4 linked regions of the Drosophila melanogaster genome follow. The protein of the gene in region 1 interacts with the protein of each later gene in a pairwise test. Each region holds a gene or a part of one and is shown in the gene's direction. Other genes may lie near its edges.

Region 1 (6,609 bases):
AAGGCAGAGCGGGTGATTTAAATCGGATGCGCAATTTAAGAAACATATTAAGTTCTCGTTATTGTTTGAAGTTGAAATAATTCGGTGATATAATTTTAAGCTTATAAATAATAAAATAAAATATATCAAATATAATGTTAAGTCAAGTCCAAGTAATAATTTCTGAAGCACACTGCTATTTACCAATTTAGGGTGACCATTTAGAGTGTCTGATGCCGTTTGCCGTTTAGTGTACGCTATGGTCACTTTGCTGCCGGCTTTTTTTTTGTATGCGATTTGTTTTTGTGCGATTTATGCTGTGGTCCTGATTGTCCTTCTGTCGAAATGCGTGCGCCTGATGCGCTCCTGCTCCGCGTCGCTCTCCTGCTTCTACTGCTGACCACCGTCCGCGGAACCCTCGCCCCGGACAGCCACAAATCGAAGAGCAAGACCAAGGAGAGTGCTCTGCGTGGCGGTCCGCAAGACCAAGATGTTTTCGATCTGGGCTTGGTTAGTCCCGAGCCCCTGGCCAAGGATATCGTGAGCAATCATCGCGGGTACTTCAAGGAGACGGGATTGCGACGCTTCAATGGCACCACCTTGGGCTATGTGACTCCAGTAAGCAGAGGACGTACTCCCACATTTTGTGCATGTGTATTAATCTATTGTTTGCTTTGCTTGTAGTGGAACTCGCATGGCTATGATGTGGCTAAGATATTTGCCAAGAAGTTCGACATTATCTCGCCGGTTTGGCTGCAGATTGTTAAGCAGGGAGATCGTTATGCCGTAGCCGGAACCCATGACATCGATGCGGGTTGGCTAACCGATGTCCGGAGAAAGGGTAAACAGGTGCACAATCAGCGAACGGTTAAAGGTATGAGAAAATGATACCCGCTGGCGTTAGTCTAAACTCACTTTCCTTGGATTTCAGTGTTTCCCCGTTTTATATTCGATCACTTCACTGATCGGGACATTAAGCTCTTGCTTAGCGACGCCCAGGAGAGGACGAAAGTCAACGACGTGCTGATCAAGTGCTGCAAGGATAATGGCTTCGATGGACTCGTCCTGGAGGTGTGGTCCCAGCTAGCTGGACGCATAGATGACAAAATTCTGTACACACTGGTTTTGCAAATGGGTGAGCTTAATGCGTTGTAACCCTTTGTTTGTTATTAATAATTTAAATTTCTTTTACGTCACTTAGCCAAAGAACTACAAAAGCAACAGCTGCGACTCATTTTGGTCATTCCTCCATTCCGCAAGGAAACAGGCCACCTTTTTGGAGAAAAGCACATGGACAAGCTGTTCAAGCACATATACGCCTTCTCTCTGATGACTTACGACTTCTCCAGCGTGCAGCGTCCCGGAGCAAATGCACCATTATATTTCGTCCGTAAGGCTGTGGAGACAATAGCTCCAGAAGGTTGCGCTGATATGACGGCTAAGAGGGCTAAAATTCTGTTGGGACTGAATATGTACGGGAATGATTACACGCCCGATGGAGGTGGACCCATCACCTTCTCCCAGTACTTGGATCTAGTCAGGCATGTGAAGAAGCACCTAACTTACGATGAGCGGGATGTGGAAAATTTCTTTGAAATCAAGTGAGTTTTCTACTGCAGCGTATGCAGAGTGTAAGGCGAAGATGATGAATATCATTACTTTCAGAAACGATGACGGTCGCCACATTGTCTTTTATCCCACTCTCTATTCCATAAACGAGCGAATAAAGCTCGCCCAGGAACTGGGCACTGGCATTTCAATCTGGGAACTTGGCCAAGGCCTAAACTATTTTTACGATCTCTTCTAGTTAGCCTGTAAGCAGCATGCAATGCACAATACCTATTCCAAATAAAGGAAATTATATATAAGCCATAATGCTTCATAATTTTTCCAATTTACAATTTTAGTAACCAACTTTGAAATGAGGCGCCAATTTGTTAGTCAACCGACAGCCGCTTGACAGCACTGTTTAATTTATCGAATATTTTAAATTTATATCGGGCCGTTTACTCGTTTAAAACGATACTATCGCTGATGGTTTTTCAGCTCTAGAATAAATTTGTTATTATTTTTTTAGCCGGTGAGAAATCCTGAAATGCGCTTTCTTTATGCCTGCTTTGTGATCGTGCTGTGCGCCCTGATCTTCTGCGAATATGTGGCGGACTTTGTGGTGCTGCAAAAGTGCAAGTGGCCGGAGATAAAGCGAAAGAAGTATGTGGACGATCCGCTTAGGGCAATGATTCTAGCGGATCCGCATCTGCTGGGACCGCATCGTGGTCACTGGCTGGACAAGCTCTACCGGGAGTGGCACATGACGCGGGCCTTTCAGGCGGCATCACGTCTGTTCCAGCCCGACGTGGTCTTCGTCTTGGGCGATTTGTTCGACGAGGGCGACATGGTCAGCGACAAGCAGTTCCAGGAATATGTGTGGCGCTACCTGAAGATGTTCCACCTACCACCGGGAATTCCGCTCATCAGTGTCGCGGGAAATCATGACGTGGGCTTCCATTACAAGTAAGTCAATAAGAGACTATGTGTATTCCCTGATATTTGTTAAACCGCGCTCTTGTGTGTTTTCCAGAATGCATCCCTTCTTTATGTCGCGTTTTGAGAGTTATCTGAACAACTCCTCGGTCAATTTGTACACCATTAAACAAATCCATTTTGTGGTGATAAATTCGATGGCTATGGAAGGTGATGGTTGCATGTTTTGCACCCAGGCCGAGGATCAGTTGAAAAACATTTCGAGGACTTTGTACTGCATGAAGTATCCACTAGAGGCGGAGTGCGCTCGCACCAGGCGGCACCCGTACAGCCAGCCAATTCTATTGCAGCACTTTCCCACCTACCGCATTTCGGATACCATGTGCGAGGAGCACGATGCTCCGTACATCGAGGCGTTCCGAGAGCGGTTTCATGTGCTCTCCAAGGATGCCACGGATATGCTGGGAGAGCTGCTTAAGCCAAGGCTGGCATTCGCCGGTCATTCACATCACTTCTGTCACAGTGTAAATCGACTGGGCATCGATGAGTACACGGTGGCCTCATTCAGCTGGCGAAACAAAGTTAATCCCAGCTTTATGCTGGTGAGTATTATATTTGCTCTTACGATTGTTAGCCCTTCGAACTTGTACTAACATGCCATAACTTTTAGGCCACTATAACCCCCGATGACTATGTGGTTTCCAAGTGCAAAATGCTGCCACAGCAGTTTGTCTTCAATAGCTATCTGAGTGCTGGCATTCTTTGCCTAATTGTCATCGGGTTCCAGCTACGAAAGTGCATCCAAAGCAGAAGACAGTCGTCGGCTGTAGATCATCGGAAGGTTAATTAGTATGTATAAGCATGCCTATACAAGGCATATCCTCTTTTGTGATTTACGCCTGATTGGGGCTTAGTTTAGACTAGATACGCCAGATTCCAGACTCAGATCCCAGATCCAGATCCAGACAGAGGTCATATCATTCCTGCTGCTTTGCAACCGCTTAACTATATTCTAGGTGTACAAAATTCGGATAGTATGTATGATCTATTTATTGAATTTATCACAGACATTATGCTTGTAAAGTCAAACGGAATACATAATGAGACACAGTCTGCTGACTACAAATCGAAAATGCCAAAAAAATAATGCTTGAACAAAGGCTGGAAAGTAAAGAACGGATACAAACAGAACAATTAAATAAAGCTATATTATAATACATTTACTATATAACGTTAATGATTGTGCACTCTGTATTCTGAGATGCAGATTCATAGGTTCCTGTACTTCGGTTTATGTCTTCCAATATCTGGATCACATTGTACTAGACTAGGCTATCTATAAGGTAACTACCACAAAGCAACTACAACTACAAACTATGCTAACAAAACAGGGTGTGGAATTCAATGCCATCAATTCCATTAGTTTGGCACAGGAAGTTCTGGTTCGTCTATTTTAGGATACGTTTAAGAGGTTTTTGTGCGCCTGCGCATGGAGATTGCGACCACTAAAGCATTCTTTTGGAAGGAATCTAGAAGAAAAAATGGGTTTAATAACAGAGGTTAAACATGTGGTTACAAAAATTACCTGTGAATCACTGGTGATATTAGATCCGGATCTAGTGTTTTCATATTTGTGGGTTTGGTCACAAGGGAGACTAGTGCACCTACCACAATGACTGTGGCCACACCAATGGGATTTATCCAGTGGTAGGACAGTCGGTACAGTGGAAAAACTTGCTCCTCATCTACCCATATATTTTCCCGAAGCGTTACATTGCCCACACATCCCTCCACGGATACGGGAAGCTTTTGAGAATTCAATTCACCCGCTGCGATGGTAAACTGCGTTCCAAAGGATATCCACCCGGCGAGCAGAGCACTTGCAATTCCGCCCACAGCAGTGCCTACAGTATTGGCCCAGGGAACGAGCATTCCCAGGGTAAACAGGCCAAAAGTGGTTCCAGCTGCGATGGCCGTCATTGAAGTGCAAATGCTCAGGATTCCACTCAGTTGTTCCAGGACAAATACCAGTGATAGGGCCACAAAGCCAAGAACTATAACAGTTGACTTTACCAGAATGGTGGAGGCTCTTTCACTTGGTTGCATCTTGAAGCAGCCGCGAACTATATCCTCCAGGATTACCAAGGACGTTGAGTTCAGAACCACAGAAAGGGAGCTCAAGGCAGCTCCAAATATGCCGGCTATAAACAAACCAGACATACCATAGATATGACCCACACTCTGAACGACAAAGAGCGGCAGTAGCTGATCGTCGTGCTGCAAGGAAATAAACGTAAGTAAAGTTCAAAAACAATTTATTATTTACTCACTGTTATTAGTCCCGCACTCAGAGGATCACAATCTTTGTACATCTCATAGATTAGCAGTCCCACATAACAACAAACAGAGACGAAGGCAGCCACGCCAATTGTAAAAATGGCCATGGAAGCACGAGCCTTCTTGAGCGATGGAAGAGACATGTATCGCTGGACCATGGTCTGGTTGACGGCATTGAATGAGGTCCAGTAGGAGAATCCCCCGATTAGGACGCTCCAAACAGTGTGCCTTACATAAGGCGATGGGTTTGTATTGTTAAAGATCAATCGGCCACCTTTGGCAGCATCATCGAAAAGGACATTCAAGCCATTTGCATAGACAGTGGCCAAAATAGCCACAGCAAGAACGGAAAGGAACATGACCAGCACCTGCCAAGCATCTGTGTGGACCACTGCTTTGATTCCTCCCTGAAAATAGGCGCCATTAGTATAAAAACATACGTATGAAACTCTCTAAAACTTACGACAAAGGTGTAGAAAACACACACGACCACAATTACCACTGCAATCACATGGAGATTAATGCCCGATACTGCAAGATTATCGAAAGATTAAAGTTGTGTTTCAAACAATTAACAAATGCGGCTTACCCTGATTCAGAGCTATAGCTGGTACATACACAATGAAAGGCAGAAACAGAATCTAAAATTGGATCGACAATTATTACAACATTGCAGTCCAAATATTATCTTTGACTTACCTCATCCAGAATAAACATAAAGGATGCAATACTTCGTACGACCGAATGAAAGCGCATCTCCAAGTACTGAAAGCAATATTATATTTCATAATTCAAATGACTTGCGTTTAGGATTCGAAAACTAACGTCATAAAGACCGAAAACGAAAACTAATTGCTCGACACAATTGTCAAGTGGCAGAAAACCACATTGCAATTAATCATATCGAACCGCTGGAACCCAGAAAAAAGTCGCAACAAGTGGGCGAGTGCAAAGTCCAAGAAATTCCACTTGAGGGGAGGGTGGTCTCCGATTCCCAGTTAATTAAAGTGTTCACTACGTCCTCCGTTCATTGATTGGACAAAAGTGACGGAGCGAAAGGGGGAAGACGGAAACATCTTAGAAAGTTTGTCATTCTTATCAGCAACCACTACAGATGAACTTGTCTATCTTTATTTTAACTAACTCGTCATTGAAAGAAATGGTGAGTATTTTATAGCTAAATTAATATTTCCGTTAAAACCCAATTTACATTTTTGGTTGCGTTCTGGACGTTATTACTTTTACTGTTAGCATAAGCTTATTGACCCATTAGATTGTAAATGTATAAATCAGTTTATAGAATTTACGAGTATCGTACCTCATAGGAAGAGCCTACTTGAAGAGCCGAGAACACTGGTATGTAGACGTAGGAGACGGCAATACCTTGGAGCATTATTGCTATGGCTATAAACCAATATTGCGTGCCATAATTGTAGATCTCAGAGGTTGTGCCCAGTATGGTAACGCCCGATATATAGCTGGAAATAAAAGGGAACAGATTGTACAGGCATATTTGGAGGTGCGGGATCGCATCGCCAACTCTACCTGGCTATCAGGCTCATGGCAACGGGGAAAACTTTCAGATTGCGTGACCCTAGCAGATACTCGCTCATCTTCTCCGATCCGAAATCGTGTTTCCGCCTTTTTGGCGTGGTCGTCGGCAGAGTGGGTTCCGCCTCCTCGAGCTTCACCTTGCTCTTCCTGTAATTACAACAATTGTTTGGCAATATTCCGAGGATTTGTTTAAAGGTCACTCACTTGATGCACCCGAAATAGATGCCCGTGCTGGTGGATAATACGATCATGCCC
Region 2 (6,703 bases), on another chromosome or scaffold:
ATTCGGCTGGGAATAGAGTTCTTGCAGCGGTCCTATGCCAATCGAATTTTCCCCGAAGAGGTTCGCCAGAATCAGTTAAAGCGCCACAGTCCCGCCATTACCACGCCCCCAGCATCCACTACGACCACGACGACAACAAGCACCACCACAACCACAGAAAAGCCATTCCCAGCAGTGCACGAATCCGGTTCGGAATCAGGAATCGAGCGAGGCGCCGCAGGAGTCCTGCCCGCGAAGAGCTTCGATAGCTTCACCTTCTGGAACAAACTCAAAGTTTTGGACAGCGAGGCACAGCAAGGTGGGATTAGGATCATATACCAAATCTTATATAGAGATAGAAACATATCTTAACCAACATGTTGTTCCACTAACAGATTTGAATGACTATGATGAGGGTCGGGCCAAGATTGTCGAGTACTTGTACAATGAATACTCCCTGGAGGAGATCCTTTACAAACTGGCAAAGGTATAACAGTGATTAATAACACACAAACTTAAATATTAAATAATTGCTGTTTTTTTTTTGTTGTGCCCAGGTAATGTTTGCTCAATCGCTTTCGCATGGCTCCGATGAGGCCCAAATGGAGCTGCAGAAGCTTACGGAATTTCTAGAGCGCGAGGGTAACATGGGTGTCATACCCATCGACTTGCAAAAGAAGGTTTTAAGTAAGTAACCAGTATTACCTATGAAAAGGCGTAAAATTCATTTGTATTTTTTAATTTTTCCAGGAGTTTTGCTGAGCGCATTGTCGGACACCCTGACCGAACATCCGGAGTTTCTGCCGGCGGCGCGGGTTAATCTGGCCAACCCATTTTACAGGCTTCCAATACACGCCCCTAGCCAATAAAGACACATTGGGCGGCCATCTCAGATTAATAGAAACCCCTATAAATATATATATGTTAACCCGCATAATTCGCATCAGCTAAATGGCAAGCATATACCCACTGATCGGCGCTACTCTGGGGAGGCGCTCTCTCGGATCTTCGATCCAACTCGACCTAATTAAGTTCATCCGATCGATTGGCACCTTTCACCTTCGTTTACGGATTAGCCTACGTGTAATATAGCAAAAGATACTCAAGTGATATTTTGTGGTCAGGTGGAGTCGGCGGCAGATGCAGGTATCACCAAACCAAATCAAAAAAACTAAAGACACAACTGATGAGAGAGACTTGCGCCCCTTTGAGCTTTTAAAATTAATATAGACTATCTATATGTATATGTCCATATGTCCATATGTCGATATGCATACGAATTGGCGCACTTGCTTATATTTGATATGAGTTTGTTAGTTAGATACATTCCGAGGTTGAGATGTCGAGGTCGCTGGCAAAATCGATGGGCCACCAGAAACGACCGATTTGAAGCAGGAAAGGGCTCTGAGTCCGCCTATATCAGTAGCTAATATGGATATAACTTGTAACCGCTCCACAGACGAGCGACTTTCGTGAATAGTTATTATTCTATTTGTTGTCCCCCTCCCTGAATAATTGAGCGTTACAGGCATTATTGATGGATTGGTTAAACGATTGATTGTGTTGCGAGTTACATATACGATATGCAAGTAAGAACTAGAACCTGTATCAACAAATTATCGATTATACACTCAATATACATAAATATATATATATATATATAAAACATGCGAATCAATTTATTTAACTATTGCTCCTTTTTTGGCTCTGAAGTCTCTGGCTTGTCGAGCAACTGGTTGATTCGTTCTTCAGTCAGCGGCTCCTTACTGTTGAACAGTTTCTCGATCTCGTCCCTCTCTTCCTCGCTAATATCCTTGGCATAGATTTTGGCCAGATCCTCCAGGCGCTGCTGGTTCTTCTTCAGATGTCCAGGTAGCCAGAAAATGGTCTGCACCATTCTATAAGAAATAATTGGTACTATAAGGTGCCAGGTATTATGATCACATTACAAATTTGTACATTGCGCATTAAGTATTGAGTATTGAATAGTTTAGTAAATGTCCTTACTTAAGAAGTACAAATCCGCAAATGGCCAGTAAAAGACACAATCCCGATGTCTTAAACATGGTCCAATAGTCCACCGTAACTTGTTGGTGTTTCATTTTGGAAATCCTTTGAAAATGAGCTCCACTCTAGACTGAATTATGGCTTGAACTGTCATAAGTGCGATATGGTAATATGCCTTCGGGCCAAGAATGCCAATGTTATGGTCACGTCGTCAGGGGCAGCCGGCTCGGGAGATACGTGTATTATACACCATCGGCAGACCAATCATGTGTGGCCTCTATAAATCGATATCACACAAGCCCTGATTTTGATGACCAGGCTACAAAGTCGGGCTAAAGTGCTAACTGGGCCGCATAAGGATTAATGTGCGCACATGTTGCTGCTGCATAAGTGCTGCATGTTGCCGACGACACTAGCAACATGTTGCTGGCGTGATTCAGGCATTTTATTGTTTTCATTTGCAATCGGATTTTCTATATTTAACAATTATCTTCAACGAATTACGTATTTGCAAATAATAATAAAAATTATATGCCTTATTAAAAAGATCGAGCTGCAGAATACCCTCTTCTCAATTTTTAATGTGCCCGAATTTAAGGGTAGCCTATTGTTATTAATGTTTTAGTATAATTTTTTTTTTTTATAAATTTCCATTGGTGATATAATAAAAGGTCTCTTAAAAGGCAAATGTCTTGAAATAAATGGAAATTTTATATGCTTGACTTTTTAAAGTAAGGGGTACCAAAATAATTGAAAATCGATAAGAAAATCCGTCGTTTTGGCGGGGTGTTTGGGTTTCTTTAGATTGTAAATTTGAGACCCGCGATTTCAATCTAAACAAGAAGCTGATTAGGCCAGGTGTATCTAACTCTCATATATATTTAACTGATTTCTTGGGGGTCTTCGTACGCGTTTGCCAATAAATCTGATTGTTTGTGACTATCAATGGATAGATAGTGGTCAAGGGGCTATAAAAGCTGTGATCCCGAACCACACGGATCATAGTACTGCGATGACAAGAGGAGCGTTAAAAGTGACCATTTTACTGGTCGGATTGGGCCTGGTTTTGGCCGGATCTCGGCCTATTTCTGATTGCGTAAGTAAAAATTTAAGAGTTTGAAAACAATTTAATATTACATATTTGTTATTTATTATTTGGTTTTTCTTTTGACAGAGTGAAACCATTTAATTGCTTTTTATTTACAAATTAAAATTAATTAAAAATAAGCATACATTTAATTGTTTTGTAGGGTGAGCGCATTGAAGACGATGGCTACCCGATGGAGCGCCACGAGGTGGTCACCAGTGACAACTACATCCTGACTATGCACCGCATCCCGTATTCCCCCAAAACGGGTGAATCTTCCAACCGACCGGTGGCCTTCCTCATGCACGGCATGCTGAGTTCTTCCTCCGATTGGGTGCTCATGGGTCCAGAGCGATCCCTGGCCTATATGCTGGCCGATGCCGGCTACGATGTGTGGATGGGCAATGCCCGAGGCAACACCTACTCCAAGGCGCACAAGTACTGGCCCACTTACTGGCAGATCTTCTGGAACTTCAGCTGGAACGAGATCGGCATGTACGACGTTCCGGCGATGATTGATTATGTCTTGGCAAAGACTGGACAGCAGCAGGTGCAATATGTGGGCCACTCCCAGGGTACCACTGTCTATCTGGTGATGGTGTCGGAGAGACCCGAGTACAATGACAAGATCAAGTCCGCCCATCTTCTGGGACCAGCCGCCTATATGGGCAACATGAAGAGCCCCTTGACCCGCGCCTTTGCACCCATTTTGGGCCAGCCCAATGCCATCGTGGAGGTCTGCGGATCCATGGAGTTCATGCCCAGCAATAAGTTCAAGCAGGATTTGGGCATAGAGATGTGCCAGGCCACTTCTCCTTATGCCGACATGTGCGCCAACGAGATCTTCCTGATTGGAGGCTATGATACCGAACAGCTGGACTACGTAAGTATCTGGAAATGAACTTGGTCCTATAAATTATATTTCCATGTAACTTATAATGCTGCTCTCCATTTGGTCAGGAACTCCTTGAGCACATCAAGGCCACGTCTCCGGCTGGCGCATCGGTGAACCAGAACTTGCACTTTTGTCAGGAATATAACTCTGGAAAGTTCCGTAAATTCGACTACACCGCTCTCCGTAATCCCTATGAGTACGGCAGCTACTTCCCTCCGGATTACAAGCTAAAGAATGCCAAGGCCCCGGTTCTATTGTACTACGGAGCCAATGACTGGATGTGCGATGTGAGCGATGTCCGCAAGTTGAGAGACGAACTGCCCAACATGGCGCTGGACTACCTGGTGCCGTTCGAGAAGTGGGCCCATCTGGATTTCATTTGGGGCACTGAGGCCAGAAAATACGTCTACGACGAGGTCTTGAAGCAGATGCAATCCTACGAATAGATTTATTTTTCAGGCAATAAACGGAGCATTTGAGCTAGCAAATTTCGAGATTGATTAGTTCTCCTCCAACTCCAAATCCAGAACGTACGATAATATTTTAGTCTCTTCATTCTTGAGGGTATACTTTATGCGATAGAAGCCCGGACTCATCAGCTTTTTGAGCAACTTGACATTGAAGGGATAGTCCTCTAGTACATAGCGTTCCTTGGGCAGAGGACAGCTGCTGGGATGCGGGGCATTCGAGTATTCCTTGATCCGTTCGTAAAAGATATCCTTGTAGTAGCTCTTCATAAAGTCGCAAAGCTGCATTTCGAATGTCAAAACCTTCTCGTAGTCTCCATCGCTATCCGGGGATCTTGAAACCTTAAGCACAACCTGTTGAAGGAATAATAAATAATTAATTCCTCCACTATATATTATAAACTACGTACCGTCCAATCATTGTCGAGTCGTTGATTCAGATCGAGATATCCGCTGACTTTCAACTCATTTTCCTCGGACTCAGCGATACGCAGACGACTGCGCAGATATGAGGTATCCTCAGTCACCTTTTCTAATTTCTGGATCCTGAATGTCCTTTTAGCCTGGACTGTAATATTACTGGTTAGGACGATAATTGCCAAGACCGCCAGATAAGAGACGGGACATAAAGAGGAGCCCATTACGATACTTTGACGACTGATGGCTGATCATTCGTTGTCATTGGTATATAAGGATTTAGATAGATGATCGCTTGTACCGGAAACGAACTTGTTTCGGTTATTCCCAGAAATGGTTCATTGATATCAAAACGCGATCCCTTTGTTTTATTAAGCTATTGCACAGTTATATTTAATTGCCAACATCACGAAATATACGATTGAATTCACTTTAAGGACGGTACACCTATGAAATAATTATTACCCTTCATTTTCTTTTAACTGATTTAAAAAAAAAATCGAGCTGTTTTAAATTCTGAGCACCTTATTTTAATCCTTCTTACGTCTTGGGATAACATTATTAATTTTAATTTATTTGTTTATAGAAAAACAAAGACTATTTACATTTCGTAGAAACCGTTTGTCCTTTTTTTTATTTATTTATTGAATGGCCGATTTTACACATAAAGCAACAACAAACAAATGCTTAGCCATTGTTAACAAAATATTTATAATTAGTAACAGCACGACAATGACGATGGAGTACGATAGAGTCAACCTTTACCTTCTATGCCCACACCAATTAGCACAGAATATATTTAATGGTCTACCTTCTGTTTAATTGCTCTTAGCTTAAAGTTTGTTCAAAATCCAGTACAAATATACATATTGTTATACGCAGTGGAAAGATATTATGTTTACTTTAAACAAGCAAATTGCGAAAAAATCGACACTATTTAAGCATTAATATTCACGGTAAATGAATACATTTCTGTATTTTATTAAAAAGTATATATTTCGGGATAGCGGGCATTGAACGCTTAACAACAAATATTTTGCTAGCATAAAAGCATCTTGGTTAACAACTGGAACGGGCTAAAGCTAAGTTATGTTCTACACGGTGAACGAATTGCTGCTGGAATGTTGCATTGCTCAAGGGAATCTGCCAGCCAGCCAAGGAGAATTATTGCCTAGTTAAGGTATCGATTGGCATCGCGGCTAATTCAAGGTGCCAAACTTGAGACGCAATTGCTCCAGGAACACAAAGGTGATGATCGTGTGTGGACCCAGACGCACAAATGCCGGCACATAGCCCTTAAAGAAGCCGAGGGGACCCAGTTTCGCCGTGTGCTTCACGATGTCCCACAGGCCATTGAACTCGCCGGGTTTCGCGTTCATGGACCGCGTCTTCAGCACATCCAACGGTTGGGTGAGAGTGGTGGCTATCGTTCCGGCCACCAGGGAGGCGGTGAAGTGCGTAACCAGGTTGTCTTGGAAATAAGGCGTGGCCAGCAGGTAGATCTTCGTCTGGTCGTAAAATGCAATTTGGCCAATCGTCATCAGGATTCCACGGGCAGTCGCTGCGGTGGCTCCAGAAAAGAGTCGCTTGAATCCCTCCTGGCGGTAGACCCTAACCAGTCCATCGAAGGCATTATTGTAGCTGAAATACAAAAAATCAGTAAGTTTAAAGCCTCAAAAATGATTTACCCTGCAAACTACTATTTAAAGGATTAAAATAATTTTCACATACTTGCGTCGTTGTTGCGGCGGTAGTTTTACGTCGTTCTGCATGCGCACATTGACCATGTCAGCCGGAGTTCCAACGATTCCTCCGACGAGACCGGATGCACCTGCCAGGGCCACCTTGCCG
Region 3 (7,165 bases), 2.0 Mb from region 1:
TGGTTACATTTCGAAATGAAAACATGGTAAGCCAAGCCTACTTTGAATAATTGGGTTTTAAAATTAGTTAATTCTGAATTGGTTATTTTGCAGTCATATGATAGACAACAAAAGAACAGAAAGTGCTTGTTGCTGCAAAAGAACAACAGTTCCATTAGCGAAAACGTACAGCATATGATGGTTGAGCCACCACCTTTTGATATCTACCTATGTGACAACTGTGATGCCGAACTTTATTCTAAAGAAGCTATACTCGTAAGTTGATTGCCAAAGATTGTCAAAGTTAATAGTTAATAACTCTATTGCATAACAGGAACACGAAAACATTTGTTGCATGGAGGATGACGTTATACTTTGTGATTCCCCTGAGCCAGATAACAAAAGTGATGGGAAAAACGAAGATATCGAACAGCGCAACGCCTTTCTCTTAAACTTTAAACTGCAACCCAAATTCTCCGATAATAGTTTATCTAAAGAGAAACAGAAAACATATTCATTCAGCGAAGAAACATCAACGGAAACATCAAACAGAAAGAGGCGTTTACCATCGCGGAGAAATCGAACAGTTCATTCGTTTAGTAGGTGTTCGTTTATCCCAATATCATCACCTGCAGGACAGCAATTGTTAAAATCGACAAAACAAACAATATCAATGGATTATATTGCGGAAAGACAGGAACGCCTGGAACGCTTTTGTTACACTCCATTGATCAATAAATCAAATACCAAGCAAAAGTATTTTGAAAAAAAAACAAACACTACAGTGCATTGTACATTTAAAAAGTCACATGAACACAATTATCACATATATTCCTTTCCGCGGCGTCAATTTGTTAAACGCAGGGACACTACTGAGAACTTTTTGTTTTTGAACTCTCCGCTGATTAAACAATGCCGTCCAATATCAGTCAGATTGAAAAAAATATCCGAACACGTAATGGAAGAGCAAAATCACACTGCAAATACAAAACTCAATATAAGACTAACGCGCCACAATTCGCTCAACTCACACTGGAGAATTTCACCCACAAAGGAAGTTGTTGTTGATACAATTGACTTATGCTCCTCGGACGACGATGAGCAACAAGAGCCAGCAATAGGCTCGCCCAAAAGACTTGGCTCGGATGCACTGACTGTAATAAAACTTACACATAACAACAGAAATTTGTACAGTAGCCGCGTCGTCGAGCCAAGTAAATGTGCTCCAGAGCCAGAATCAGTAATAGTTGATAATTCGGTTAAGCCCCTACAGCAATCTTTATATATTTATTCAAACTATAAGGCTAATTCAGTAATTAGTCGCTGTACCGTAGACTCGATAGCCAATCATTCACTGGTTGGTTCCCTGAGTACATCGAATACTTTTGCTGATTCTGAGGGACACAGAAAGGAATACAATCAGGAAAACTGCAATTTTTCTAAGAACTTGGTCGCACTCACAGACTGGTACGCTCATTCGGCTAATTCGAAAAAAAGCACTACAAATCAGACTACTGAGAGTAGTACGTTTGATGCGATTTCCGCGGCTCCGCCTTTCAATGGCACTGGGCGTATAATTTCCATTGATTTAACTTCTTAGACATTTTAATCCATAGTTAAGTTAAGAAATTGTTATTTTACAAGAAAACCTAAACTAAGAATTACCATATATGAATAAATAATTTGTTTAAATACTTTTATATATAATGTCTAAATTCATTTTCTCTGCGTTTTAAAGAAAAGACATACTGTAGAGGAACCCTACTGTTTTGGGATCTCTATTACCACGTATAGATGGTAATCAGCATATTTTCCATCCGTTTTCTTCATAGTTCGAAGCGTTAATCGATGATCTGGTTGTTTGAAAGCATCGACATAAAGTACACGTAAATAGTACATGACCTTCAAAAGCTTATTTTTTTTGGTTATGAGTCACATCATAATTTTATTACGTCATTAAAGAAAGAGAGGGGACGTCAGGGTTAATACAAAGTAGCATTAATCCCATGATTGATACTTGAACCAGTCTTTTCGGTATGTACCTCAACCCAACGTGGGCTTGGCCCTTTGTAGAGTTAACCATCACCCCGCCTATTTTAGGCGATTCAGCTGTACGCGTCAGCTGCTTTTGGTTTGGCATATCTAGTTTTATATCGCATTTTCCATTCATTCCGATGGGATGAAGAATTTGATATAATTTAGACCATCCCAGATGTTTCTTTCCCACACTGTTCCACTCGATGCATTCTCACTGAAAACGTCTTTCAAAGAATACCACAGTAGTCCAATTTATGTAAGCCAAAACATATGAAAGACAACATTTTAAATGTTTATTTTATCATCATATGAAATTTCTCGGTCGCAAACGAAAATATAAATGTTTTCCACCGGAATAGAAAAATATCGGTGATCACAGCGATTATCCATATATAAAATGAATAAAATGGATGGATAAATGTCTTATAAATTTGGTATTCTTTTAACTTAAATACATAGGTAAATATAAAAATTTATTTTATTGCTTATCTTATTCAACCTCAATATAAATAGAAAAAAGCCAAGACATCATCACTGACTGCGATATTATACAGCCAAATAACTGAATTGACCGATTAAAATGTGGAAGTGTACACGGTGCACCCTGTATAATCGCGGATTGCTTGCTTTCATATCTATGAATTAGTTTGGTATGTAAAGTCGTATACAAGAAATGGTGTTTGAAACCAAAGCGATTTTACTGTTCCTCATGGTGTTGTCAAAGAAATTTTCGCTTTTAAATAATTAATTGATGAGTGTGTAAGTGAATATTGTGTTTATTGTTTACAAAAACCCCGTTTAGTCGAGTGATTAAGTGAAACAAATACCAGCATATATATGTACACAAAATTTCGCTCAAATGTGCCACTGACAGCAAATCAGTATTTCTGTACATAAACGTCAAGTTTGCCAGTTTGAAGTTTTAGTTCGCCGTAATGAACAGTGCAAATTACAAACATTAAATATTGATTAATCTATCGGCGTAAGACCGCAGTTTGATACACACATATATGTACGTACATTGCAAGCGTTCGCTGCGAGTGTGTGTATGTATGTATGGTCATTTGGGTGTTTTACTTATGTACATATGTACGTACGTGCGTATATAATCAATTTGTATGTAATGACAGCTGTGCAGAATGCAATGATTCAAAAATAATTTCAAATTGGATCGCTTTCGAAAATCCAAAAGTCATTTATTTTGCTGATTGCCTGTCGCTATTTTTGCATCCGCAATCGGCGAGAAATGGCGTGAATAGCACGTTCTGTCATCGATTGATAAAATAAATATTTTATTACCTTCTAGTGAAAATTCTGGATGGTAGTTTGAATTTTTTTTCAAAATCGGCGTAATTGTACTAAAAGAGATGCATTTATATTTTTCCTTACTAAGCTTAACATTTATCTGTAAGCCCACTGCTCCTTAAAAAATAATTGATTATTTTAAACCTATTTTAGATATTTTATGTGGTTTATGCGTTGAGTTTATGGTAGAAACACGGCAATTATGGAGTTCCACGACTAGGCTTCATTTTTGCACATGTTAAAAGGTGATTTTATTAATATATTTAACACATTTCCCTCTATCAATACATGTTTCTGTACTTTTCAGGTTTAAACCATAAACAGGACCCATATGCCTTCTACGACTTAAGTCATCAACATTATTTGCAATGAATGCAACGTTCCATTCATACAGAGACATACTAGCGGCACATCACCAAGACTCATCTAGTCCTGAGAACTTCGCCCCCATAGTAATTGACTATAGAAACTCAAACCACACAAAGGACACTGTGGAGACCAACTCGAATATCTCATCGTCTCAGCTATCGTTCATGGACGAATCTTCAAACGATTTCAATAATCAGCAGTTAATTCATTCCAACTCCCTTATTAAAGTGTGTGGTGGTTGTGGAGGTAAGTTCCTTGAATCGATTCATCTATGAGCTACAATAACTTAACTCACGTTTTCTCTGTTTCGCTTGCAGATAAAATAAGTGATAGATATCTTTTATACGCTTTGGACAGATACTGGCACAATGGCTGCCTTAAATGTCACTGCTGTGGAGCTATGCTAGCAGAAGTGGGTTCCAGCTGTTTTACGAGGCGAGGCCTGATTCTTTGCAAAAAGGACTATTCCAGGTACGCACGCATTCGACTGAAAAGATTATTTCAGCTTCCTTAAAAACATGTTGCCTACTTAATGGCGTCAACCATTTAGATACTCTTTAGATTATGTTCCTTGTGTTCAAGTTCACATTTATTTTCCAGCATGTTCGGGTGCTCCGGAGTTTGTTCTGGCTGCGGAGAAACTATACCGCCAAGTGAACTGGTAGCGAAAGCACTTACTGGAATAAATAATATCGATTTACAAAATCAACAAAAACAAATAATTAATTGCGTATTTCATCTAAGGTGCTTTAGTTGTGCTAAGTGTGGATCCAGTCTGCGTCCTGGTGATAGGTATGCCTAACAACACACTGCAGTGAAGAGCGAATTTGAAATGGAATTGCTTTTTCTTTTTGCAGGTATACTATGTTAGGAGCTAGCTTGGTGTGTGAACAAGATTGGCACAAATTACTTAAGGGCCCCGCCAACTCGAATGGAACGCTTGGACAAAGGAAAGGAAAGGTCGGTAGGCCCAGAAGATCAAAGGACTAATCAAACTTAATGTCACATAAAATATACATATATTTTAGAACATAGTTCATATTTTTAAATTACCTATAAAAATGTAATTAAATCATAATATAAAACAAGACCTTCATTTAGGTGAGTTCGATTGGGAATTACACGTGCAACTATGCATAAAAACGAATGGATAATCTTAAATCATTGAAAAATGAAATAAATTCGAAAACAATGACATAAACTAATATCGAATGACAGTAAAATTGATAGATGTTTTAATTAATTAAGACCCAAAAGGGACATCAGTCTTGTCTTAAAGAGCTTCAAGTAAACAAAATCCACAACAATTCAATTAATCTTTTTATTATGATCTAAAACATTTTCCCAGATATCTTCACAAGAATCAATAACAGTTTGCGGCGAGGACAGTTTGTGCTTCATGAAAAAGCCTTGAATTTGCGCCGGACTAGCGGAGCGTCCAAAGGAATTCACTCGTTTTCCGAACTCCTCGGCTTTTGTGGTGTCACTGCTGGCGAAGAAGTTCTTGAACATCTCCTCCAACTGATATTGCGTACAATAGCCAATGTATTCCTTTAAATCGATTCTACCAGGACGAACTAAGGCGGGATCGAGGCGGTCAATGTAGTTTGTTGTCATGAAGACAATTCTGGCCTCCGTGGAGCCCACACCGTCCAAGCAATTTAGGAGTCCACTGAACGTTATCCTGTTGAGACCGTCAAAGGCGGATTTCTGCTGCGGAGTAGCTTCGCGCGAGACGAATGCTGCGTCGATGTCCTCCAGCAGAATGATACTCTGCTCTGGCGCAACATTCAGGAGATGATTGAGTCGATCATCGGTGAGGCCTCTTTCGGATAGGTTTAGCAGGCAGACACTGTACTCCAGTTCGCCCGCCAGGGCGGTTATAAAGCTAGACTTGCCACAACCAGGTGGCCCGTACAGAAGGTAGCCTCTTCGGTAGGGGATTCCACGTTGCGTATACCACAGAGAGCTCTTAATGAAGTCCTGGCAGTCGGCAATGATTCGCTGCGAAGTTCCGCGATCCAGCACCACCGATCCAGTGGGACGCCTTCTGCGCGGATGTCCGAAGGGTCTCCATTCCGCACCCATCGCTGTGTACAGCACGGTTTTGCCCTCTGTGGCCTCCAGAGCCAGCTGCCTAGCCTCTTCGAGGATATCGAAATATATACCTTTATTGTTACCAAACGCTGTAAGCGTCACTGTCTCCCAAGGAACACCCATGTGAAGGTCCAATGTCTGTTGTTCCCTGGTCCGCTCCACCTGAATCCAATTGCCCTTGTACTGGAACAGATGCTTGCCTATGCTGGGTATGAAGTCATAGCTGGTTTTGATTGTGCCATTGTCGTTCTGCACAAAGTTTGTCTCCACGCTCAAGTGTTGCGTTTTTCGCGCTCCTCTGATCGTAATCCATTTTAACAGCCACTGATAGGATTTGTCCCGACACGGCACCTCCAGGGTAATCATGCAGTGCCGCCGGAACAGTATCACTCCGCCCTGGAGGCCCTTGCGCAATATGGCAGCAGCGGCGCCCACACCAAATAGTCCAAAACCGGCACCAAAGTAGGGATTTGACGAAAGTCCAGCTACAAGATCGGGCAAAGTCATCTTGTCTGCAAAAACCGAGAACAAGGATCAACGTTTAATTAAAGTGTTTTACTCTTTTTCGGCAATAAAACCCTATAAAACAACACCTGTTGCTTAATCTATCATCCAAAACATGGGTTCCTCCTGTAAACAATGGTACATCTTTTCGAAGCAACTTTTTAAACAAATAAAACTGAAGTCTAACATATACTGTTTACGTGCGCTTCAGCAAAGGCACCAACAATTTTATTTTCTCATGAGAAAACCATGTAATTTTATTATTTAAATCAACCATTTGCCATCACTCTCGTTATGTAATTAATTGTAATTTAGGTGTGAGCAAATAAATATACAAGTTGCCGCTGAAGTGGCACATTTTATTTGGCATAAAAACCATCTTAGAGGATAACTTGTCATTCACTAAAAGCAATCAACATTTTTTTATAGTAGAAATGTTTCAATACCGGCATTGATAAATATTTTTAATCCAACAGTGTGACCGAACTGTGAAATCGGAAAAATGCAAATAAGTTGGGAAAACTTATATCGAAAAACCAATATTTAATAAATACTATAAATAAATAATAAATGAAGGTTTAAAATTAAAATCAAAAAATTTTACCCATAACATTGATTTTTTGTATTCATTTATTCAGTTTGTTCCGTTTTAGGATCTATGCAAATGCATGAACAATTTTATTGTATCCTTGAATCTTACATTTTTAATGGTTAAGATGCTTTCATAGCCCTATAAATGCCTATGGACGCTGCTCGGTTGCAACCAGGACTTCTGGGTCGCGTGGTCCGGCTGCTGGTTCCTCTGGGGGGGATGGGCGATCATCGTCATCGTCGTTCCTGGGCGTATCATTGTCATTCTCTTTGGCAATCGCCA
Region 4 (10,413 bases), about 14 Mb from region 1:
TTCTTATGCTTAAAATATTACAAATGTGTGTATATTATTAGTTTAAGTTTCAAATTAGTGAGTAAATGAATTTTTCACATTTCTTTATCTTTAAGTCATTTTTGAAAGGCAGGTGGTAATTGTGAGCCTGCACTAGTTTTAGGAGATAATAATTACGTGTTTATTTTAAACAAAATCGGAAGGTACTAGTCAGTAAGCATTAATTATTATTTTTTAAATAAGGCAAATATGTATATTTTAAAATATGAAATACATGTATGTATGTCCGTATAAATAAAACCGTGAAATCAAATGTCGATTAAGTCATTTGACATAGCCAAGCCAGGAAATTTGCGGCTGATCCAAAAATATCTACCTGAGTGTAGCATAGGTGGGATAAATTTGGGCAATACGACCAAGATCGTCATCGTTCTCCAATTGGGAATCCTTCCGTGTACGCCGAACTGGTAGGCTGGGCATCGCTTAGCTTCGAACCCAATTACGAATATAGCAAATTTATACGCGGTATTTGTAGCTTTCCCAGGATAACAACACAATCCGCATAGACGGAATCTGCGATCAGGGGTGATCAAACGTTAGAATTTGCACAACATTTGGGTTTGTTTACCTTTTTGAAGTTCGAGATCGTAATTGCTTGTCTTGTGAGACGTAGATAGTTTTCAACGTTGGGGGTACTCCGGCCTTGGTTGTTAACCGCAACCAAATACTTAGCATGCAATTGGCGCAGTCGAATGACGGAAATTCACATTCCCTAAGTGCTCGTTAAATAGAAGTTAAAATACTAGAATTGTATACATATACTGAATCACTTGGTGAAAGAAATATAAAATGTTTGTTATCACTGATAAATTTTAATATACATTTTTAAATTCAATCAAAGTCAATTCCATATTATCTGTACTTCATTAAAAAATATAATATTATTAAAACAATACGATCCCCACCGGCGTTGTATATTTTCACCGATTTTACGTGTTTCATTCATTCTTGAGTTTCCCCTGATACGTGTCTGCGTGCTGCTGGATGTTCTTTGAGTTTTGTAAAATTTTATTTAAGTCAATGATCACTTGAGCGGTAAGGTTTGAAAATATGTTCACTAGCCTAAGTGCATGATTCAAAGAAAAATATACATAACATTTTCTACGTTAAAAAGAAGCATCTCGACTGATTTGGTTGTTTCGCTCTATCAAGCTCACGTTTCGGTTTTCCATTATTATGTAATTTGAGTGATATATATCGATTTTTAAGAATTTAACACACATTATAGAAACATAAAAAATATAGAAACATAATAAAATTATAGTGCCATCACTCGCGTTTATATTAATAATAAAAGAAAGAATACTATAGTCGAGTTCCAAGGCTATCAAATAACCGTTACCAGCTAGTGTGAATACAAACGCGAAATTGCATCAATTTTATGGAATATCGATAGATAATGGGATATAAAATGATAAAAAATTTCAAAATTGTTCCAAAGTGTGGCATTAGGGCGTTAGAGTGCGCGTGGCAAAAATTTTATTGACAAATCGATAGAAATTAAAAAGACTAATTAAATTATAGTCAGATCGACTAGGATATTGGTCCTGATCAAGAATATATATACCTTAAATGGTCGGAATACGAAAATACGACTAACGGTTATAATAAATTCATCACCACATTACTAGAAGTAATTACTATTAAATAGAAAGCGCTTACACTGCTCATAATCTTGTTATTACATTTTATAATGTTTAACGAATGCTATCTATGCTTTAAATTGAAATACTTGTTATCCAGTAGGATTATACATAATGAATTATTTCAATATACCATTTAACAACAAAACAAATTGCGCAATTCCCATCACTAATCCCTATGCTTGGTTTGATATCTCCAAAACATGGAAATGCGATTCCAGTGTAAACATCCCATTTGTTCCTCGTAACAGTCAAAGGACGGCCAAAACCACGTGTAAATATATCTGTTTAATTATATCCCAAAATTAAGTCACCAAAACTAGCAAACGCACAAAAAATATTCAGTTTGACCCGCAAGAGATCGAAAATTTTTGCGTTATCTATTTACCAATAAAGTTGTTCCATATACTCAAAATCGTCGTGGTCTTGGTGTAAAAGGGGCTTCCAATAAAGTTTTTTTCTTCATCGTCGTAGACATGGTAACACTGCAAGTGAACATAAAAATCGAAAACTGATTTATTTACAATAAACAAAAGCGCTTATCGGCTCCAGGACGCGCATATGCTGACAACCATTTGGCTAAAGGTTTAACACAAATTCCTTCCAACGACGCGGACTACTGGTAGTACCCGCAGCCTAAATTGCCGCGATGCCGTGCTGGTATTACGACAAAAAGGAGCTGCGGGAGACGCCCTCGATCTTGGATGGAATAAGCTTCGAAACGGAGCGGCGGTACAGAAAAGAAGGTGCTCGATTTATTATGGAATGTGGCACCAAAATGGGCTTGGGCCACAACACGATGGCCACCGGCGTTGTATATTTTCACCGATTTTACATGTTTCATTCGTTCCGGAGTTTCCCCCGGTACGTGACTGCGTGCTGCTGCCTGTTCTTTGCTGGCAAGGTGGAGGAGACGCCAAAGAAGTGTCGCGACATTATTAAAACTGCGCGTGGCATCCTTACCGACAATTACTTCTACTCGTTTGGCGACGACCCTAAGGAGGAGGTGATGACGCTAGAGCGTATTCTGCTGCAGACCATCAAATTCGATTTGCAAGTAGAGCATCCTTACACCTTTCTCCTAAAGTACGCTAAGTGTTTCAAAGGCGACCAGCAGAAGCTGCAAAAGATGGTGCAAATGGCGTGGAACTTCGTCAACGACTCTCTCAGCACAGTAGTTTGTCTACAGTGGGAGCCGGAGATTATCGCCGTGGCTCTTATCCATTTGGCCAGCAAGCTAAGCAAATTCACTGTGCAAGACTGGGAGGGCCGCCAGCCACAGCAGCAGCGTTGGTGGGATATGTTTGTGTCTGATGTAACGATGGAAATACTCGAAGACATCTGCCACCAAGTTCTGGACCTGTACCAATCAACCCAAAAAGAAGCGCTCCAGCCAACCAGTCCGCCCCAAAAGCCACCAAGCAGAGCCGACAGTCCAAAATCCGGCAAGCTTACCAATTCTACGGGTATTGGACCACTTTCCGTTCCACAACAGCCGCCGCCCCCCGTATGTGGCAACGGTGGCGTGCTGGAAGTTAGCAACATTCAGAGCATTAAATCCCTAGCCAGTGGCGTGCCAATCATTGGTCCTAGCGACTCCCAGAACCTGTTACAGGGCCCAACACCACCAGGTCAGCCATCCGGGTACCACATTTATCATGCTCCTCCACCGCCGCCCCCGCCGGTAGTGCCTATGCCGCCGTACCCCTCTTCCGGATGGGGAGTCCAGCAGACAGTGGTCGGACACTATAGCGGGAGCGCTGCACCACCACCACCAATGCCGCCTAGCTTGCCTCCAGGAGCCAGTGGATACTACAACGCCGGTGGGCGTCCATCGCAGCAGCGCTACTAGTAGATGCAATGACTAATAAACAAGTAAAAAAAATTTGTATATTAAAACTAGCGAACCGTTCGGAATAGGATTTAGAGCGGGGATCTTCGTACGGTTCGGTTTTCTTTTTTGGTTACACTCTAGGCCCAATATTGTCCCGGGGTATTTATCAATGATTTTTATTCCCTTATTTTAAGTCCTTACCCTTTCACATGTACTTGTTAGCAGAATTTTGCTGAAATGATGTTTCCAAAACTGAATAAAACCAAATGAACTAGAAAAAAATATTTTGGACATTGGGGCACTAACAAAAATAGATTCTTATTAAAATTGGCGAAACGTTGAGACAAAGCGGAATTGGAGTAACGGCGAAGTTTATAACAGTGGAAGATAAACATGAGAAATATGTGAGAACAATTTTTCAAAAGTGTGGGCGTGGCAGTTTTGGGGGTTTTGTATGTAAAAGGAGGGGCGTGGCCAGTGTTTTTGGTATGCAGATAAAAATTGGCAAGTCAAACAATAAAACGAAGAAAAATCTAAAAATTTTTAAATAGTGTGGCGCTATGTGTCTCCGCAAACTGTATGCTTAATCTCAACCATCTAGCTTTTATAGTTCATGAGATCTCGACGTTCATACGGACAGACGGACAGTCGGAAAGTCAGATATGGCCAGATCGACTCGACTATTGATCCTGATCAAGAATATATATACTTTATATGGTCGGAAACGCTTCCTTCTGCCTGTTACATACATACTTACAACGAATCTTGCACCTTTTACTCTACGATTAATGGGTATAATAACTCTTTAGATGTTTGAATAATTTTTGGAATGATACATAGTGTGCGAAGATTGCTCGGCTATCAGAAACAACAGTGCAGTTTTGCAGTTTCCATGGACTTTATTCTTGCCCATGGTACACTTGGAATAATAACGACTGCCCAGGCTACCTCGATTCGTATGTTTATTATAAATATAATTATGTCGTAGGCCAACGGTTTCGTTTTCCAGGCTAAAGACGAAAATGTTCGAAAATAATATTATTGACTTTGTTCGATGTTCTTCAATTTAATTTAATTTTTAAATGGTGTTAAAAATAATTAATTTCCTTTTATCTTTCAAATTTTATAAAGTCGATTTCTCTGAAACCAGGCTCTTTGATGTGATACTTACCGCGCTCTGCTTTCGAAACATCAACTACTTTGTCTCAGTTCGTTGACTTGCTTCGTTACAAACGTCTCGATCTTTTCGCTAAAAGATCTAGCTGACTTTTAGTTCTCCCGCGCTCTAGGTCCAAGGACCTCTATTTCACCAAAGACACTATGATAATTTTAGTAATTTATAAATTAACTAAACAAAATAATTTTAGTTTGGTATTATTCTAGTGTTGCTTTACCGTAAGTTGGCTATATTTAGACCAGGTATTCGGATACTTCATTTTTATAACAATTGCAAATATAGTGGTAAAACACGAAAAAATTAACAAAATATTTTTGCGGTTATACATAAATTTTTCAATGCAGAAATAATTTCTCAGAAATAATAAAATATTATATAAATATCAATATGAAGAATATGAATAAGCTTTAGAGTATTACTTATTGCCGTTTTATCAAGGGCTAAATAACACATCTAAATAAATAGTGCAATAGGAAAAGGAAAGTTTTATATTATATATTAAGGTTTAAAGCTAGGGCATAATCTATTAGACTAAAATTTACATTGTGTTCTGATCACTACCCACTTATTGCCATATATGTTGCAGGAAAGGTCTTCCGTTGATGTTTTTCGCCAGAATGCTATGGTACTTCCAATGAAGCTGAGTTTTTGTCAAGGGATCTACACGTTTGTCGACCTTGTGAAAGACAAAAGCCAGTTCTGACTGGATTAAAAGTTTGCATTTGTTTGTGCTCTACTAGTATGCCTGGCATACAGTTCTGTACAGTTCAAGTCTTCAAGTCGTTATGATATAGGACCACCTCTGTCGAAGGGAATAAATTAAGATCGTACTTGTCAATACTCCAACTAATTTTATTGAGTAAATCTAACAGTACTTAAGAGTAAGAGTTAAGATTCACATAATATGCTTATGCCAACAGAATTGTGTAAGACAACAAATTTTGGGTAAGTGGTAATGCTATATAGCCAACTGGACAGAACATGTTTATGCCAGTAAGTCGTTCACGACCTGAAAAACGATAGTCCGTGTTGGACTAACACTTTTACCTGAAAAATAACATTCTCCTGGCCGTTGAAGTGTTAAATAAGTAATTAAAGAAGATTGAATTTTAAATTTAAAACAGCAGAAATTCTTGATTTGTTTTTTAGTAGCCGGCTTACTAACTATACGCGTGACTCGTATAGAGAGAGTATACTAGATTCGTTGTAAAGTAACAGTGACATTCATACGTGCTAGAAACTAACTTGTGAGTTTTAAAGCAACACAAAAATTTGGACCAGCAAGAAATATGTCGTTCTATACGCAGGGAACTCTTAGTAGAAACTTATCAGCTAATTCAATGTAGTTATAAACCGCTTGCAAGATCCCTTTCTTATAAAAAGCATAGAGTATAATAAAATTCTGATTGTCTTAATTCGAATGTAGAGCCTTTTTCCTGTCTTTGAGCTGGCCCACCAATCCGAGAAATATTTTTTCCAATATATGTGTGGTGTGTATCTCATACTGTTTTGTTTTCAGACATGTATATATATATAACGCTAAAGTAAGATTAAAAACGAAAGGCGGGTAACAACGAAGACGAAAGAAGAATTCAGGAAGATGATGATCAACTGAGATGAGTTGAGTTAGAAAATGTTTTTTATTATATTATTTTTATTTATATTATCCAAAAATCTGCAGTAGCAATTATGTTGCGTCACGGCCCTTGAACGACGTGCAGAACACAGCCAGCCTTATGAGAAAAGTTTAAGCACTTGGATTGCAGTCGTTAAAAATTCTTGCTGTCAAACAATTAAAAAACTGTGACCTTATGTTACCCTTGCTGGCCATGTTTGTTTTAAATAGGCTTCTGTGTCACAATTATTTCTAACGCATGGCGCTCACTCGCTAGCAAAACAATCTAATGCAAAATTCGAATAACAAAACAAGAGAGAATGCTATATATTTCCCTTATATGACCGGAAAACTATGTACCTGTTACATATGTTTCAACGACTCTAGTATACCTTTCTACTCTACAAGTAACGGGTATAATTACATATGTATATGTACATATGTACATACATACATATGTATTACGTATTCCGTAAACAAATATGCACATTACAATATAAGGCGTTGATAGGCGAGGCAGATACATATATTTGTATTGATACCTGTATATTATGGCCTACATAGAAAACATTTTTGAGCTTTAAACACCAACTAAACTTTGAGTTTCTTTATTTTCTTTTTTTTTTAGAGCGGAGAGACTTTTGAACCCGACTTAAGCGGTGGGTCACGGCCATGCGATCACCTGATTTAATATGGAAGATGACTTATTAAAAAAAATTAAACAATAAAACTGGGCTAAGCACTTCTAGAGAGATGATGTGTATCCGGCTTAATGTGAAAATAAATGAGTGGTTGTGCAAATACGTCCTAACATTTGCGGGTTAGAGTCAGTACCCCACTCATGTAATACTGCGGGATCATTAAATATTCGGGCAGGGTGCGTTTACAAAAGGAGGTTGACGACGATGCCTGTGCTTGTGTGGATGCTGCTACTGTTGCCTGACGCACGATGTGACCAACCTTTCCTGAAAAAAATAGAATGTTATTTTGTAAAAAAAAATAACAATTTAATACAATTTGAAATGACTTGTATTCTGCGTTAACCTTACAAAAATTGTTACGCCCACTGGCTAAGTAACGGAAATCTGAAATTTGAATAAATCGACTATAAGATTCTCTCGTCATTAATTGACTTCCCTAAAGTTCTTAGGGTAGCAATTATGTAGTCTCACGGACTAGCCTAATTAAGGTCAAATTGCTTCCCTCTTGCGTATATTGGCAAAATTTCATTAGTTTACAATTAAAGAAAAGAACTTGTTTAGTGTCTCTGTGTCAGGGGTAACAATACTTACTAATCCATATATATATATTTGTATATCTATCGATATTCCAGAAAAATTATGAAATTTCGCGATCGCATTTCTACTAGCTGAGTAACGGGTATCTTAAAATCGGCGAAGCCGACTATAGCGTTCTATTTTATGATTAGAAAACATTTTTCTTACTGAATATGTAAATATGTAATATATCAATACCGAGTAAAACTTTTATATACAAACTATGAAAAAACAACTCTATAGAACATCTTACCCATCACGTTTGCGCAATGAAAGCGGTCATCTAGTTGCTGAAGGAGGGAAAGATCTCGACAACGTGCCCAGGCATTAAGTATGTCCCTTACATTTATAGGCACCCATTCAGTTTTGTCTGCAGCTTTCTGTTTGAAAAATGTGTTGCATTAGTTTAAAAAAGTGTGTACAATATGTATTTGATTTTACCCCCTTAAATTGTACAATAAGCTGTTGGTGGGTCGCCATCTCGATCAACCGTTTGAGCTTGCGATGGTTTCCCTGCTGCTTTGAGGCCTGTATTAATAGCTGCTTGAGATTGACACTACTTTCCGTCCGTCGCCGCTTGGCCAATTGCTTGAAATAGCCATGAAGTAGCTCCCTGTCATAGGGTACGCGCAGTTTATCTAGCGCTTGCACTAGGTGCTCCTCGTCGCACGTCTTTCCTGTAGACAGACTTGCCACCAGTGGCTCAGTCAGATAGCCTTGATTGAGGAGCTATTCGCGAGAGCGGGTAAATTCATTATACACAATTATTATAGCATGCGTTTACATACCTGTAGACCGTTGAAACTATTATCACACGAAATAAACCTTTGGTTGCAGGGTGGACCCAAATTGGAACCAGAAACAATTCCGGTTGCTATTAAGCTGTGCCAGCCGGCGAACGGACCTCCATAGCAGTATACTGGGGACCCGCTTCGACAGCGAACCTGGTCCGACCGTGAGTAAAGCGAAATACTACTGCCCCGACTGCCAGCTGATCTACGACACTTAGGACATGTTCCCGGGTCTACGACTTTGCCTATGGTATTGGCCAAGAACTCCTTTTCTAGGCAGTCTAAGCAGTTCTCCTCGGTTATTCCCAAGTCAAATTGGCCCGTGCACGAAGAAGACGTGGTCAAAGCCCCAACAGTCGCAGGAGCCACCAGTATAGGAGGCACTTGATCTTGCTTTGACTTCGACCCTGACTGTTGCTGCTGACATGTTGTTGCCCGGAAATCAGTGCAGCTGTAGCAACGTTCATCAAAGCTAGCTGATGTATGAGAGCGCCGCGACTTATATGAGGAGCTTTTAGTCATCACAGACGAGGTGTGCAAAAAACGCTTTGGCTTAGCACCAGTCAGCTTAGGCTCTGGGTGTTCGCTGGGGACACTAGTGCTGCGCGAAAAATTTGAGCCTGTGTGCAATGTGTTGGGCAAGGAATGAGCCTGATAAGACTTCACTGACCGAAAGCTTCCGGAGGATTCAGCCTGCTTTTCCGAGCCAATAACTATTAGCTCATTTAAATCTATGTCCACGCCACTTCCACCAGCACCAACGTCTTTGATTTTATCTAAATTCAAGCTGATGCGCGCGAACTTCTTACTAAGGCGTAGCTTTTGCTGCTGCATTAGGTCCTCCTGCGGAAAATCATCTATGGGCGAGCTGTGCAGCTTTCCTTCCTGCGTAGAAGTAGTTCCGCCTATGCTGTTCATTTGGCTATAGTCGCGTTGCATTAACAACAAATTGGCCTGAGGCTGGATGGTCATATCGGTGGTTCCGCCAACAAGCTCCAACTCTGATGAGGGGTCTGGCTCAAAGTCCATTTCAAGAAACTCCGTCTCATCTTCGCCGTAAATGAGGCTATCGCCTCCCATAGCATTCACTGGTCCTCGGCCAAGGTCGAAGTGTTGCCCGCCAACCCTTCCCGTGGCGATGATATCCATGTTCATGTCAAAATCAGCCCCTTCACCACGGTAAGCGTAGACGCAGTCGTCGGAGTTGATAGATATCTCCTCCGCGTTCATGTCGTTGTCGTCCAGCAAAATTATATCGTCGCCGTAAATATTGTCACTGGCATAGCTCAGGTTTTCGGTTGAGTTGTTTATGGAAGTTCGGCTGGAATTATAGCCACAGGCGGCGGCTTCAAAGGATGAGAGGGCAGCTGCTGCTAGCCCGTAGCTTGCCACGTCCAGATCCAGTTCGCAGTAAGAAGGACTTTCCACCTTTTTAAAGGATAAACAGAACATAACATAATCAACATAATTTTTTGTGCTTAAAGCGGCAGTCACTTGCCTTATCACCATCCTCTGCGGCCATGGTCGCTGCAGGGCACTCCTCTGCCTTTGCCCCGCCACCACCCACGGCTCCCACGACCTGCTCGTCCACCGCTACGGCCTGCGCTGATGTTGTTGCTGCTCGTTTTTGATTTGTGCCCATTGTATTTACACCGGTCCCACAATTGACTTGGCTGACTAAGAGCTCCGGGCGTCGCTCTTCAGCCGCATCAGGACCGAGGTGTCGGTTCGCACTATAATTAACGATATTGTTATTGTTACTCAGATGCAAACGCCAGTTTAATTTATCTAGCTCTCGAAAATCCATTCCATTTGCGGCCTGGGCAGTGTTACCAGATGGCATAACGGTAAAAAAAAACCGTCGACAGCCTCTTAAAATAATTAATGCCAAAACAATTATGCGACCTATTCACACAGCCCAATTGATGCGTGAACGTTAACAATTTCAATGATAAAATGCAAGGCAACTAATTTAAAGCTAATTGTTTCAGTAAAAAGATTATGCGGATTCTTTATTCTTGTATAATAAGTTTTCGC

The links.
Region 2: the proteins of PGAP5 (region 1) and Lip3 interact in a two-hybrid assay, tested with the Drosophila melanogaster proteins (one large-scale study listed by BioGRID).
Region 3: the proteins of PGAP5 (region 1) and CG5708 interact in a two-hybrid assay, tested with the Drosophila melanogaster proteins (one large-scale study listed by BioGRID).
Region 4: the proteins of PGAP5 (region 1) and CycK interact in a two-hybrid assay, tested with the Drosophila melanogaster proteins (one large-scale study listed by BioGRID).

What each region holds. Positions count from the first base shown.
Region 1 is NT_033779.5:8,196,969-8,203,577, forward strand, and holds PGAP5 (Post-GPI attachment to proteins 5), read left to right. Parts: upstream 1-1,984; 5' UTR 1,985-2,074; coding exon 2,075-2,493; intron 2,494-2,560; coding exon 2,561-3,065; intron 3,066-3,133; coding exon 3,134-3,312; coding exon of another isoform or gene 3,313-3,313; exon of another isoform or gene 3,314-3,377; coding exon 3,378-3,387; 3' UTR 3,388-3,684; downstream 3,685-6,609. Other genes in the region: CG8460 (uncharacterized protein), read left to right, coding at 325-597, 664-853, 911-1,114, 1,181-1,580, 1,645-1,786; SLC5A11 (Sodium/solute co-transporter-like 5A11), read right to left, coding at 3,917-3,992, 4,049-4,740, 4,794-5,207, 5,264-5,331, 5,390-5,441, 5,500-5,565, 6,119-6,278, 6,346-6,501 and 1 more. UniProt on the Drosophila melanogaster protein: Metallophosphoesterase.
Region 2 is NT_033777.3:13,368,042-13,374,744, reverse strand, and holds Lip3 (lipase 3), read left to right. Parts: upstream 1-2,840; 5' UTR 2,841-2,998; coding exon 2,999-3,082; intron 3,083-3,236; coding exon 3,237-3,956; intron 3,957-4,033; coding exon 4,034-4,414; 3' UTR 4,415-4,468; downstream 4,469-6,703. Other genes in the region: CG9813 (uncharacterized protein), read left to right, coding at 1-298, 375-466, 537-666, 730-848; CG34309 (uncharacterized protein), read right to left, coding at 1,667-1,877, 1,987-2,081; CheA87a (chemosensory protein A 87a), read right to left, coding at 4,469-4,789, 4,846-5,076; Dic1 (dicarboxylate carrier 1), read right to left, coding at 6,052-6,493, 6,584-6,703.
Region 3 is NT_033779.5:10,222,275-10,229,439, reverse strand, and holds CG5708 (uncharacterized protein), read left to right. Parts: upstream 1-2,631; 5' UTR 2,632-2,775; intron 2,776-3,474; 5' UTR 3,475-3,566; intron 3,567-3,628; 5' UTR 3,629-3,689; coding exon 3,690-3,936; intron 3,937-4,007; coding exon 4,008-4,161; intron 4,162-4,290; coding exon 4,291-4,482; intron 4,483-4,547; coding exon 4,548-4,680; 3' UTR 4,681-4,983; downstream 4,984-7,165. Other genes in the region: ova (ovaries absent), read left to right, coding at 1-26, 94-255, 314-1,579; Bcs1 chaperone, read right to left, coding at 4,999-6,294; Prosalpha6 (proteasome alpha6 subunit), read right to left, coding at 7,032-7,165.
Region 4 is NT_033779.5:22,121,642-22,132,054, reverse strand, and holds CycK (cyclin K), read left to right. Parts: upstream 1-1,912; 5' UTR 1,913-2,331; coding exon 2,332-3,534; 3' UTR 3,535-7,115; coding exon of another isoform or gene 7,116-7,273; 3' UTR 7,274-7,770; downstream 7,771-10,413. Other genes in the region: CG3651 (uncharacterized protein), read right to left, coding at 7,116-7,273, 7,839-7,965, 8,027-8,314, 8,374-9,804, 9,875-10,183.